Drosophila melanogaster: one gene and its partner. Changing the gene in region 1 together with any one later gene gives a genetic interaction. Each region holds a gene or a part of one and is shown on either strand. Other genes may lie near its edges.

What was found.
Region 2: of Socs44A (region 1) and Sos, changing one suppresses a phenotype caused by changing the other (phenotypic suppression), as found in Drosophila melanogaster (one study listed by BioGRID).

What each region holds. Positions count from the first base shown.
Region 1 is NT_033778.4:8,125,919-8,130,257, forward strand, and holds Socs44A (suppressor of cytokine signaling at 44A), read left to right. Parts: upstream 1-1,656; 5' UTR 1,657-1,786; coding exon 1,787-2,343; intron 2,344-2,405; coding exon 2,406-2,877; 3' UTR 2,878-3,558; downstream 3,559-4,339. Other genes in the region: coil (coilin), read right to left, coding at 1-951, 1,006-1,091, 1,147-1,281; Pbp49 (PSEA-binding protein 49kD), read right to left, coding at 3,577-4,339.
Region 2 is NT_033779.5:13,811,787-13,819,882, forward strand, and holds Sos (Son of sevenless), read left to right. Parts: upstream 1-2,029; 5' UTR 2,030-2,427; coding exon 2,428-3,519; intron 3,520-3,572; coding exon 3,573-3,930; intron 3,931-3,992; coding exon 3,993-4,915; intron 4,916-4,979; coding exon 4,980-5,828; intron 5,829-5,890; coding exon 5,891-6,781; intron 6,782-6,849; coding exon 6,850-7,483; intron 7,484-7,548; coding exon 7,549-7,592; 3' UTR 7,593-8,038; downstream 8,039-8,096. Other genes in the region: CG16865 (uncharacterized protein), read left to right, coding at 40-200, 266-571, 693-848; CG16888 (uncharacterized protein), read right to left, coding at 939-1,448. UniProt on the Drosophila melanogaster protein: Promotes the exchange of Ras-bound GDP by GTP. Functions in signaling pathways initiated by the sevenless and epidermal growth factor receptor tyrosine kinases; implies a role for the ras pathway in neuronal development.

The DNA of each region.
Region 1 (4,339 bases):
ACTGCTCTCTTTATACCTTCTGAAACATTTTTTTTATCCTTTACATCTGGTAATTCTTCGTCGTGCAAAATTTCGTAGGATTTAGGCTTTAAGGTTGAATCCTTCCCATTGCTTGGGAATTGTTTAGCCGTATCATCACTCTTAGCTCCTTTCTGCAGCAAAAAACGAGGACTGATGGGCTTAAGTTTTTTATATTCCAGAATTTCAATTTGTTGTTTTTTAGTGGGAAATTGAAATATGCGCGGAACATTAAAGGGCATCTCCAAGAGAGGGGAGCGGAACGAAATCGATAGGAGGCTAGCAGCAATGCCAGGACTCTTCTCAATTTGGTCCCCTGCTTTCAGTTGAGATAGTTTATCCGGAATTTTGTTGGACTCCAAGTGTGTTTTGTCCTGTTGCTCCTCTCGAGTTTCGTTTTCCTTCGTTACCACACCAGATTTTTCTGATAGAATGTCAGGCGATGTCTCTTGATTCTTGCTTTCTGACATTTTACCCTCCTTGAGCGTGCATCGAGAAATACTCTTAGGAGCAGGTTCATTCTCTACCTGGTCAGATGCCTCGGGCGATTTGGTCGGTTTCTTGTTTTTGGATTTATTTTTAATCTGAGGAGCAGATTCCTTGTTCTCTGTCTCGATGTTCGCTGACATGTTAGAAACTTCTGTCTGAGTTTCAGGGGCCTTTGGAGTGCCTTTGTTTGTCAAGAGCTTTGATTGTACAGAAGGTCCAGGAGCCATATCTAGCAACTCCTTCTTTCTCACACGAGATGGGTTTTCTGCAATATTTATCCATTCTGAGTTGTTCTGGTTCTTGGAGCGCTTTGAAGGTCGGAGGGGAGTGGAGGCGGTTAGGTGAACCTGTTCCTCGACGGATCGATTCTTGCGCTTTTTACTGGATTTTACAGGAGCAGGGCTCACAAAGGTATCACTATCGTGGCTGGCAAACCGAAAGGCTCTGCAAGGGATGAATATGCTCAAGTAGATCGTAAAAAGAAATAAGCTCACCTACTTGAGTCCTTCGGCAGAGTTCAACACTTTGATAGACTCCCTCGGGGGCAGATAGCATCCATCTGAGGTGAGCAGACTAATGTCCTTCTGTTTGAATGCAATTTATTTAGAATTAGCAGTTAGAGATTCTTAAAAATCTTGCCAAGCTGAAGAGGTTTTGTATGTGGTCCTGGAGGTCCTTGATGTTGTTCCATGCTGCATCGATGAAAACCAACGAATTTCGTCGTTCGTCCTTGAAAAAGTTTGATAGATCCACCTTCATGCTGGAGTGTTGCATTTTTGACTTAGTTTTCTTATGATTAAAATGATTTTAAATGTGCTAGAGATGGAAGTATGTTCGATTTCGTTATCGTTAAATCGATGTGTTTAAATTTCTGTCAAATTAATGTCATATTTTTTGTAGCGATTTATAAAAATAAAGCTTATTTGAATGACAAACTACATTAATATTAAAAAATTGCAATATGGAAAACAATATATTTAAGTCAACGAGATTTTACTTGAAATAATTTAAGTTAGTTTTAAAAATGCCTAAAGCAGAGGGCTGTAATAATGGATAAATTAAAGCTTTGCCTTGCAGAGAATTTAATTTTTTAAACTCCCCTATGTTATCGATAGCATTTACCAGCTACGCACGACCGATAGCGATAAGACAGTTCTTGTGTACAACGAAAACAAATAGTTCTTATCAATAAAGTTAGGCATTGATCACGGCTCCGAATTAGATCAATGATGTAATTCCACCACGAGGAAGCTCCGATCCGATCCGATTCCACTCCAAAATGAGCCACGGCGACCAGAGTCAAAACCAGAGCAGCCAGCGGAGCCAGGCGCTCACTGGCGGTGGTGACTCCCCGAGGGACAGGGAGAAGGAAAAGAAGGGCTGGTTCCACTCGCTGACCAGGCGCAAGAAGTCCGACTCGGCGCTGGCCGTGACTGCATCCGCCGCCGTCTCCACCAGTGGATCGCAGAACAACAACAACGAAGTGTGCGTCCTTGAGGCAGCGGACTCTTCCATGGCCAGCTGCAGCAATGGGGGCACGGGCACAGGAACTCTGCGCAGAAGGCGGGACAAGGACAAGCGAAACGTGTTTGCCAGACTACGAAGGAAGGTGGGCCAAGGGCTCAGCTCCCTGCGAAACTGGCACTCCATGGGCGACTGCGACGACGGCGGAACTACTGATGCCACCTACGAGTTCCTTACGCCGGCCATCTGTCCGGAACCCACGCTACCATTCACACACGACTACTTGCGCTTTATCCGGAAGAAATGGCTTGAGCGCGAGGACGCCCACTCGCCCAACCAGATCATGTACAAGGCCTGCTCCGAGATGCTCAAGTAAGCGCCGTGTTTCTCCGTCCATCAACGATCGATGACTCATGCCCTTTGTTTGTTTTTAGCCAAGTGTGGTACTGGGGTGAGATCTCCAGGCGCGATTCGCAGCGGCAGTTGAGTGACAAGCCGACTGGGTCGTTTCTAGTCCGCGACTCGGAAACCAGCGGATCCCAATTCACGCTCAGCTTTCGGATTGTGAACGTAACCCTGCATTATCGACTGGAATATCGCGACAATTTTTGGCACTTCGAGGAACTTAAGTACGAGTCCATTGTCGAGATGATCGAAGATATCTTGCACCGCTGCACCAACGACAACTTTGTGTGCTTTGTGAAGGTTCCCAACGAGATGCAGCCACCGTTTCCAGTGATCCTCAAGTACCCGTTGAGCCGGTACTCCAACATGCCCAAGCTGCAGGACTTATGCCGCCGTGTTCTGCAGCGCCAGATGTCTCGCGAACAGCTGGCCCAGTTGCCAGTGCCGGCGCAGATGCTGGAGTACTTGTCGGTGGAGCGGGAGCTGGTCTTCCAGAGTTAGGCAACCGCCGCCCGCCGTCGAGAAGCCGCTGGTCAAAGCTTTAACACTGAAGTAAACGCAAGCGCGTACACCAAAGAGGTCCGGGCGAATGGAATCCCAGCCTGCAGTTGTTCGTAATGATATTTGTTGGTCGGATTGGCAATATGTTGTTGATGCATTTCTACGCCCCAGTAACTAAGCGCACAGTCTCTCTTCACGTGCACGCCGGAATCCCAGTGCACAGAATTTTACTGTATTGTACTGCTAAGTACGGTTAGTACTAGTATCTTGTCTAGGATAATGTATTATGTTATTTGCCATATTTAGTCTATTGGTTTGTTTTATATGGGTCCTGGTCAAGTCTATACTCTGCACCACAGTGTGCAAATCCTTAAGCAAATTTTTAAACATTGAACTACTGCATATATGTATTAACGTAAGTTCTAAGCCAGATGTATCGTACTATTTACGTTGTTTGCATTTTTGTATTCCTAACTTGGACACTAACTTTTTGCTAATCTAGATTGCATGGAATTTAGGCAGCTTTACGGCAATCGAATACGTTCAATGCCAATTACTCTTGTTGCAACGTGTATGTATTTTATTTAAATCTATCTATGAATATTTTACAAGAACAAAATATCAATCAACTCCTTGAGCGATCTTGCAGTCAAAGGAGCTCGCAAATAAAGAAAAAATCACACAAATGTATATGTATATTCAGGAGGGGAGATTTTGCTGTTTAATGTCCTCCTCTTCGCCCTCCAGCTCTACATGGTCATACATGCGATAGGCTTTGAACTGGCCCAGCTTGACACCATCCACGTAAAAGAAGCTGAGAAAACATCTGCGGCACAGGTAGGAGGGATCGTGCAGCTGTCGCCGGGACTGGTTCACGATGAAGCTATAGCTGCGAATGCCGCACATATAGCAAGTCCTGCGATTAAACGTACTGAAGGCGTGAGGATAGGGATACAGGCTGCGATCTGGCCGTTTACTAAGTGGCGTTAGCACCTCTACCTGGGAGATCACAAACAGGTGTTCGCAATTGCCGTGGTGCAGGTAGTGTAGCGGTGATCCGGGGCTGACAGTGAGATCGATGAATCTTTTGCCCTCCATACTCTCCACCTTAAGCGTTTCTCCGTTCACTCCGTTCGCTCTGGCAGCCCACTGCAAGACGGTCTTGGAATAGTCGGGATTGTCCGGATTGCGCTGGTCGTTGTAGAATGTGTCGTTGATGAAGAAGTAACCGGGATTTGTGTCAATGGATGGCAACGGTGCATCTGGATCGTCGCTGATGTCGACAAACCGTTTTCCATTGCAAACGCAGCTGATCTTGTCCCGCAGCTCGGTCAGATAATTGCTGCCCAGACATACGAACTCCTCGGCGAAAACGGGAATCTCCACCTTAAACCCGCGATGGTAGGCCCGCGGTGGTCGATATAGACGCACGGTTAGCTCCAGTTCGCCGCAAGCATCGATG
Region 2 (8,096 bases), on another chromosome or scaffold:
AACTGAAAGCATAGTACATCATGTTTGCCTATCCTACAGATTGCACCCTCGAACAGTTGCCGCTACGAGAGGTGGACAACGCCCGTGTGATAAACGCCAACGACCATGCCAACAAACTCACCCACAATCCCACACCGAGGATGGTCTACATCAAACGCAAGAGCAGGGGCAATGGGATCGAGAAGCAGTACCGCTACAAGGTGAGTAGCTGACTTCCACTCCTTACCCGTCATTAGTTCACCTAATGTTTTCCTTTAACCTTCAGTGCCGAAGCTGCAGTCTGCCGCTTTACTATCGCCACAGTCCCGACTCCCACGTAACCTTCGTCATGTCCAATGCCCTAATCCGCAACAAGGGTGAGAGTCCTCTCACACAGCTGCTGAATTCGGAGATCAAGGGCAGTTTCAAGGCACCGGCTGCCAAGCCAGCGACTTCCGCCGGTCCAGACGATTCGGGTATTGTGGATGCCAGTGGCAAGAAGGTCGTCGTCACCAGACACACGAAGAACATGGGCAAGTTCAGCTCGGTCACGGTGTCTACCATCGACGAGGAGGAGGATGAAATCGAGGCGGTAAGTTTGTCAGCTAAAGTTGGTTTGTAAATGGTGCAGGAAATCCAATCTATCATTGCATCATCTACGAACAAACCTACAACTCTTTCAAACTAACCATTTTTTTTGTTCATTCAAACAGCGCGAGATCGCAGACAGCTATGCGAACAACGCAAGGATTATCGAGAAGCAACTGCAGCGCAAAGGCGGAAAATTGAGCGATGTGGGCATCAAAACCAAGACAGAGGACGCACCTCCGCCGCAGAAGAAGCAGCGCGGCACGCTACTGGAAAGATAGTCACACTCTGCCTCCTTATTACCCACAACTAAATATATTTGACGACACAAATGGCTGGCATTCTTGGAAGAAAAATTGCAATTTATCTAGTTATAGCATACGCAAATAGTTTGACCTTCTATGCTGTCGTTTTGGCAGCAAACTGGGATGCTGTGCCAGTAGCTTCTTCAGTCGCTGCTCGGCGTGCTGGTGATTGAGAATCGAGTCCTTGACAAGCCCACAACTGGGACATAGATTGTACTCCGACTTTGACTTTTTGACGATCGCTGGACGCACGCGAGTCTCCATGATCAGCTTCATTCGATTCGTGGTACGCGGCGAGTTGTGCAGAGCAGTGAGTGGACGGCACTTACTTCTTGGCGAGGATTCGGTCCGTTCCAAAGCAGCCTTCTCCTTGCTCCTGACCAGCTCGAGTGCACGATTCGCTCGGGCTTTGGCCAGCTGCAATTCGAGAGGCGCCTTTGGCAGGTTAAAAAAGAAGTGGGTCCACTTATCGCGCAACTGTTCGATGGCCTCCGAGTTGAATAGTGAGCTGGAACGATTGGAGGTATGGGGTCCCCATTCCGCGTTCCCGATGCAACTCAATCTATAAGCGGACATTGAAACCTGAAGTATTATACACTGAAAATTTGACAACAAAGTAAAAGTGTACATATATGTGTATATGTATACTATATACCGTATAGTTATGGTTTTTGGATGGATTGTTTTTCAAATATATAATTATACGAGGGTATAGAAGCTTCGACTTCTGGAAGCTAGCTCCCTAACTGTTTTTGGTTTTTGTATTCTGTTGCATTGCATTGCTTTCATATGTTTAATTGTTTCAACTGAACACATTGTACTTGTTTTCGATTTAGAAGCGTTGAAAGCGGATGTATCTTACATTATCCAAGTAAAATAAGGGATGAGTCGATATGTATGTTGCATATCTCCTTACGATTTTAGATAAGGAAAGACATTTTATAAATATAAATATAAATTTCTTGAAATATAAACATTGAAGAGATAATTAAATTCATTTTTTTTGGGTAAATTATAATATATTTTAAACCTGCTCGTTGCAATTTAAATTCAAAATGCTTCTTCTTCTGCTAAAAAAGCCATTCAACACGAATGCTCTCTACATTGGATTTTTTAGTACATTCTTAAGCATCGAATCAGGGCTGGTCGCGAGCATTTACTGGATTTAGGCAGTGCCGCACTCTGGTCACACCGCGAAAAATATTATATTGAGTTGAAGATTATATTATACATATATATATCGAAGATACATATTCTGAAAACAAGTGCTGAAGCCCAAGCGATTTGCAAACGAAACGGACGCGCGAGCCCCGTTCAAGATTCGAAACGAGTTCAGTGCGTGCGCTTGAGTGTGTGTGACTGCCATGCGACGTTCGCCCGGGTGATCCGGCTGTGCCAGGTGCCCCACGGTTCCAGGTTTCCAGTTTCCAGGTTCCGCTCCACTCCACTCGTCGCTGGATTCAGTGCACAACACAGCGGGCGGGGAGGCGGAGGGCAGGCGGCCAACGAAGGTGCTCCACGGCAGGCTCTCGTCGGCTACTCCACGGCGCACAGAATGTTCTCGGGGCCCAGCGGCCATGCCCACACCATTAGCTACGGGGGCGGGATCGGTCTGGGCACTGGAGGCGGCGGCGGCAGCGGTGGTAGTGGTAGTGGCTCACAGGGCGGAGGCGGTGGTATTGGCATTGGCGGCGGTGGCGTGGCTGGGCTGCAGGATTGCGATGGCTATGACTTCACCAAGTGCGAGAATGCTGCGAGATGGAGGGGCTTGTTTACGCCATCGCTAAAGAAGGTGCTGGAGCAAGTGCATCCACGGGTTACCGCCAAGGAGGACGCACTGCTGTATGTGGAGAAACTCTGTCTGCGGCTTCTGGCCATGCTGTGCGCCAAGCCGCTGCCCCATTCCGTGCAGGATGTGGAGGAGAAGGTGAACAAGTCCTTTCCAGCGCCCATCGATCAGTGGGCCCTGAACGAGGCCAAGGAGGTGATCAACTCGAAGAAACGCAAGTCTGTCCTGCCCACGGAAAAGGTGCACACGCTGCTCCAGAAGGATGTGTTGCAGTACAAGATCGATAGCTCCGTGTCCGCCTTCCTGGTGGCCGTGCTCGAGTACATCTCAGCGGACATACTCAAAATGGCCGGCGACTATGTGATCAAGATCGCCCACTGCGAGATCACCAAGGAGGACATCGAGGTGGTGATGAACGCCGATCGTGTGCTAATGGACATGCTCAACCAGAGCGAAGCCCACATCCTGCCCAGTCCCCTGTCACTTCCCGCGCAGCGTGCAAGTGCCACCTACGAGGAGACGGTCAAGGAGCTGATCCACGACGAGAAGCAGTACCAACGCGACCTGCACATGATCATACGCGTCTTTCGTGAGGAGCTGGTGAAGATCGTGTCCGATCCGCGCGAGCTGGAACCGATATTCTCCAACATAATGGACATTTACGAGGTGACGGTCACTCTGCTCGGCTCCCTGGAGGACGTCATCGAGATGTCCCAGGAGCAGAGTGCCCCCTGCGTCGGTAGCTGCTTTGAGGAACTGGCCGAGGCCGAGGAGTTCGATGTGTACAAGAAGTACGCCTACGACGTTACCTCGCAGGCCTCACGGGATGCTCTCAACAATCTCCTGTCTAAGCCAGGGGTAAGTATTGATACCTTCTGTGCGAAGAATTCTACTAAAATCCCTGCTTTTAGGCCTCATCTCTGACCACAGCCGGCCATGGCTTCCGCGATGCGGTCAAATACTATTTGCCCAAGCTGCTTCTGGTGCCCATTTGCCATGCCTTCGTGTATTTCGACTACATCAAGCATCTCAAGGATCTCAGCTCTTCGCAGGACGACATCGAGAGCTTCGAACAGGTACAGGGACTGTTGCATCCACTCCACTGCGATCTCGAAAAGGTAATGGCCAGCCTGTCCAAGGAGCGACAAGTTCCGGTTAGCGGTCGAGTGCGCCGCCAGCTGGCAATCGAGCGGACACGGGAGCTCCAAATGAAGGTGGAGCACTGGGAGGACAAGGACGTGGGCCAGAATTGCAATGAATTTATTCGCGGTAAGTGCTGGCAACGAAAGTTACTTGCATCCTCCAACTAAAATGGTATTTCAAATTTACAGAGGATTCGCTGAGCAAACTTGGATCGGGAAAACGAATCTGGAGCGAGCGCAAGGTATTCCTCTTCGACGGGCTAATGGTGCTATGCAAGGCAAACACCAAGAAACAAACACCATCGGCAGGAGCAACGGCCTACGACTACCGACTGAAGGAGAAGTATTTCATGCGACGCGTGGATATCAACGATCGACCGGACAGCGATGATCTGAAGAACAGTTTTGAGTTGGCACCCCGGATGCAGCCGCCCATTGTGCTGACCGCCAAGAATGCACAGCACAAGCACGACTGGATGGCAGACCTGCTGATGGTTATCACCAAGTCGATGCTGGACCGGCACTTGGACAGCATATTGCAAGACATCGAGCGAAAGCATCCGCTGCGGATGCCCAGTCCGGAGATTTACAAGTTCGCGGTGCCGGACAGCGGTGACAATATCGTGTTGGAGGAGCGCGAAAGCGCAGGAGTGCCGATGATCAAGGGAGCGACGCTTTGCAAGCTAATCGAGCGCCTCACCTATCACATCTACGCCGATCCGACTTTTGTGCGCACCTTCCTCACCACATATCGCTACTTCTGCTCGCCGCAGCAATTGCTGCAACTGCTGGTGGAACGCTTTAACATACCGGATCCCAGCCTGGTCTATCAAGACACGGGCACAGCAGGTGCGGGTGGAATGGGCGGCGTTGGCGGTGACAAGGAGCACAAGAACTCGCATCGCGAGGACTGGAAACGATATCGCAAGGAGTACGTGCAGCCAGTGCAGTTTCGAGTGCTCAACGTACTGCGCCATTGGGTCGACCATCATTTTTACGATTTCGAGAAGGATCCCATGTTGCTGGAGAAGCTGCTGAACTTTCTGGAGCACGTGAATGGCAAATCGATGCGCAAGTGGGTGGATTCCGTGCTTAAGATTGTTCAGAGAAAGGTGAGTAGTTGGTCAACAGCATAATGTGGAAGTATCGTTATCATTTTTCAAATATTATTTACAGAACGAGCAGGAGAAAAGCAATAAAAAGATTGTATACGCCTATGGCCACGATCCGCCGCCCATTGAGCATCACCTTAGTGTACCCAACGACGAGATAACGCTCCTCACCCTGCACCCACTGGAACTGGCCCGTCAGCTCACTCTACTGGAATTCGAGATGTACAAGAATGTAAAGCCGTCTGAGTTGGTCGGATCACCCTGGACGAAAAAGGACAAGGAGGTGAAGAGCCCTAATCTACTGAAGATAATGAAGCACACCACGAACGTCACCCGCTGGATTGAAAAATCCATCACCGAAGCGGAGAACTACGAGGAACGCCTGGCTATTATGCAACGCGCAATCGAAGTGATGATGGTGATGCTGGAATTGAACAATTTTAATGGAATCCTCTCGATTGTCGCGGCTATGGGCACGGCATCTGTTTATCGACTGCGGTGGACATTCCAGGGATTGCCCGAACGCTACAGAAAATTCTTGGAGGAATGCCGCGAGCTCAGCGACGATCATCTCAAAAAGTATCAGGAGCGATTGCGATCCATCAATCCGCCTTGTGTGCCATTTTTCGGTCGCTACTTGACCAACATACTCCACTTGGAGGAGGGTAACCCCGACCTGCTAGCCAACACAGAGCTAATTAACTTTTCCAAACGACGGAAAGTGGCCGAGATTATTGGCGAGATTCAACAGTACCAGAACCAGCCATACTGCCTCAACGAGGAGTCCACAATACGACAGTTCTTCGAGCAACTGGATCCGTTTAACGGACTGTCCGACAAACAGATGTCCGACTATCTCTATAACGAAAGCCTGCGCATTGAGCCAAGGGGCTGCAAGACAGTGCCGAAATTCGTAAGTATAATGCTTCAAAGTTTACAAGTCATATAGGAAATTTAACCATTTTCCTTTCGTAGCCTCGAAAATGGCCGCACATTCCGCTCAAATCGCCGGGCATCAAGCCGCGTCGCCAGAATCAGACCAACAGCAGTAGCAAGCTGTCGAACAGCACGTCGTCCGTGGCGGCGGCAGCGGCAGCATCGTCAACGGCCACCTCAATAGCTACGGCATCGGCGCCATCTTTGCACGCCTCCAGCATAATGGATGCGCCAACAGCAGCAGCAGCTAATGCTGGATCTGGAACTCTCGCTGGCGAGCAAAGTCCGCAGCACAATCCGCACGCTTTCTCCGTTTTCGCCCCTGTTATTATACCCGAACGGAACACCAGCAGCTGGAGTGGAACGCCACAGCACACTCGAACGGACCAGAACAACGGGGAGGTTTCGGTGCCGGCGCCACATCTCCCCAAGAAACCGGGCGCGCATGTCTGGGCTAACAACAACTCGACACTGGCCAGTGCGTCGGCAATGGATGTTGTGTTCAGTCCAGCGCTGCCGGAGCATCTGCCACCGCAGTCCCTGCCGGACAGCAATCCATTCGCATCGGACACGGAAGCTCCACCGTCGCCGCTGCCCAAGCTAGTGGTCAGTCCGCGTCACGAAACCGGCAATCGATCACCATTCCATGGGCGCATGCAGAACAGCCCAACGCATAGCACTGCCAGTACCGTGACCCTTACAGGCATGTCTACATCGGGCGGGGAGGAATTCTGCGCGGGTGGATTCTACTTTAACAGTGCCCATCAGGGACAGCCGGGGGCAGTGCCCATCTCGCCGCATGTCAACGTTCCGATGGCCACCAATATGGAGTACCGAGCAGTGCCGCCTCCACTGCCACCCAGACGCAAGGAGCGCACTGAGAGCTGTGCGGACATGGCGCAAAAGCGTCAGGCGCCAGACGCACCCACAGTAAGTAGCCTCACTTACTTCTAATTTGTAGTAGCAGATGACAGCAATCATTTTACGTATCCTTGCAGTTACCCCCGCGTGATGGCGAACTCAGTCCGCCGCCGATACCGCCACGGCTCAACCATTCCACGGGCATCAGCTACTTGCGACAAAGCCACGGCAAGAGCAAGGAGTTTGTGGGCAACAGCAGTCTGCTCCTGCCCAACACCAGCAGTATTATGATACGCCGCAACTCGGCGATCGAGAAGCGGGCAGCGGCAACTAGCCAGCCAAACCAGGCGGCGGCGGGACCCATCAGCACGACACTAGTGACCGTGTCGCAGGCAGTGGCGACGGACGAACCGCTGCCGCTACCGATCTCGCCAGCGGCAAGCTCCTCGACGACCACATCACCGCTGACACCCGCCATGTCGCCCATGTCTCCCAACATTCCCAGCCATCCGGTGGAGAGCACGTCGAGCAGCTATGCCCACCAACTGCGAATGCGGCAGCAGCAGCAGCAGCAGACGCATCCAGCGATCTACTCGCAGCACCATCAACATCATGCCACCCATCTGCCGCACCATCCGCACCAGCACCATTCGAATCCGACGCAGTCGCGCTCGTCCCCCAAGGAGTTCTTTCCGATTGCCACGAGCCTCGAGGGCACACCCAAACTTCCACCAAAACCTAGTCTAAGCGCTAACTTCTATAACAATCCAGGTGAGTGCTACCAACTCGGCCCGTGATAACGTGTTTCCTAACCCAACCATCCTATCCGTTTGCAGATAAAGGTACGATGTTTCTTTACCCAAGTACAAACGAAGAATAATTTAAATTGCCTGGCGATGTGATAAGGACGAAAACTACGAGTATGATCCGTAAGATTCAAAGTTGCGAGCACTGCTTGAGTGCAGATATATATATGAGAGAACGGAACGTGAGATATATATATATATATATACATATATACGTAGGCGCAGTTTATGTATTCTAGTATGAAACGAGTTGGAACCGCTGATTTAGATTATTCGCCACTCATTTAACAAGGTAGAACAGACAGACAGACAAAATACGCTCTCATTTACACACAACAGGCACGCGCATATGGATAGGAATGCAGGACACACAAACCAAGCAAGCAACCAAGCAACCAACAAGAAATGCAAACAAGAAATTATGTTATTATATAATTACTATTATAAATATTTGTAAATATCGAGAACATTGTATTGATCGTAGAACGTAAAACAATAAAGTATAACCCTATTGTTAGACACTTGGCGACATCTTTCGATGACCAGAAATATAGAGTATTGTAGCCAAAGTCAAGGCA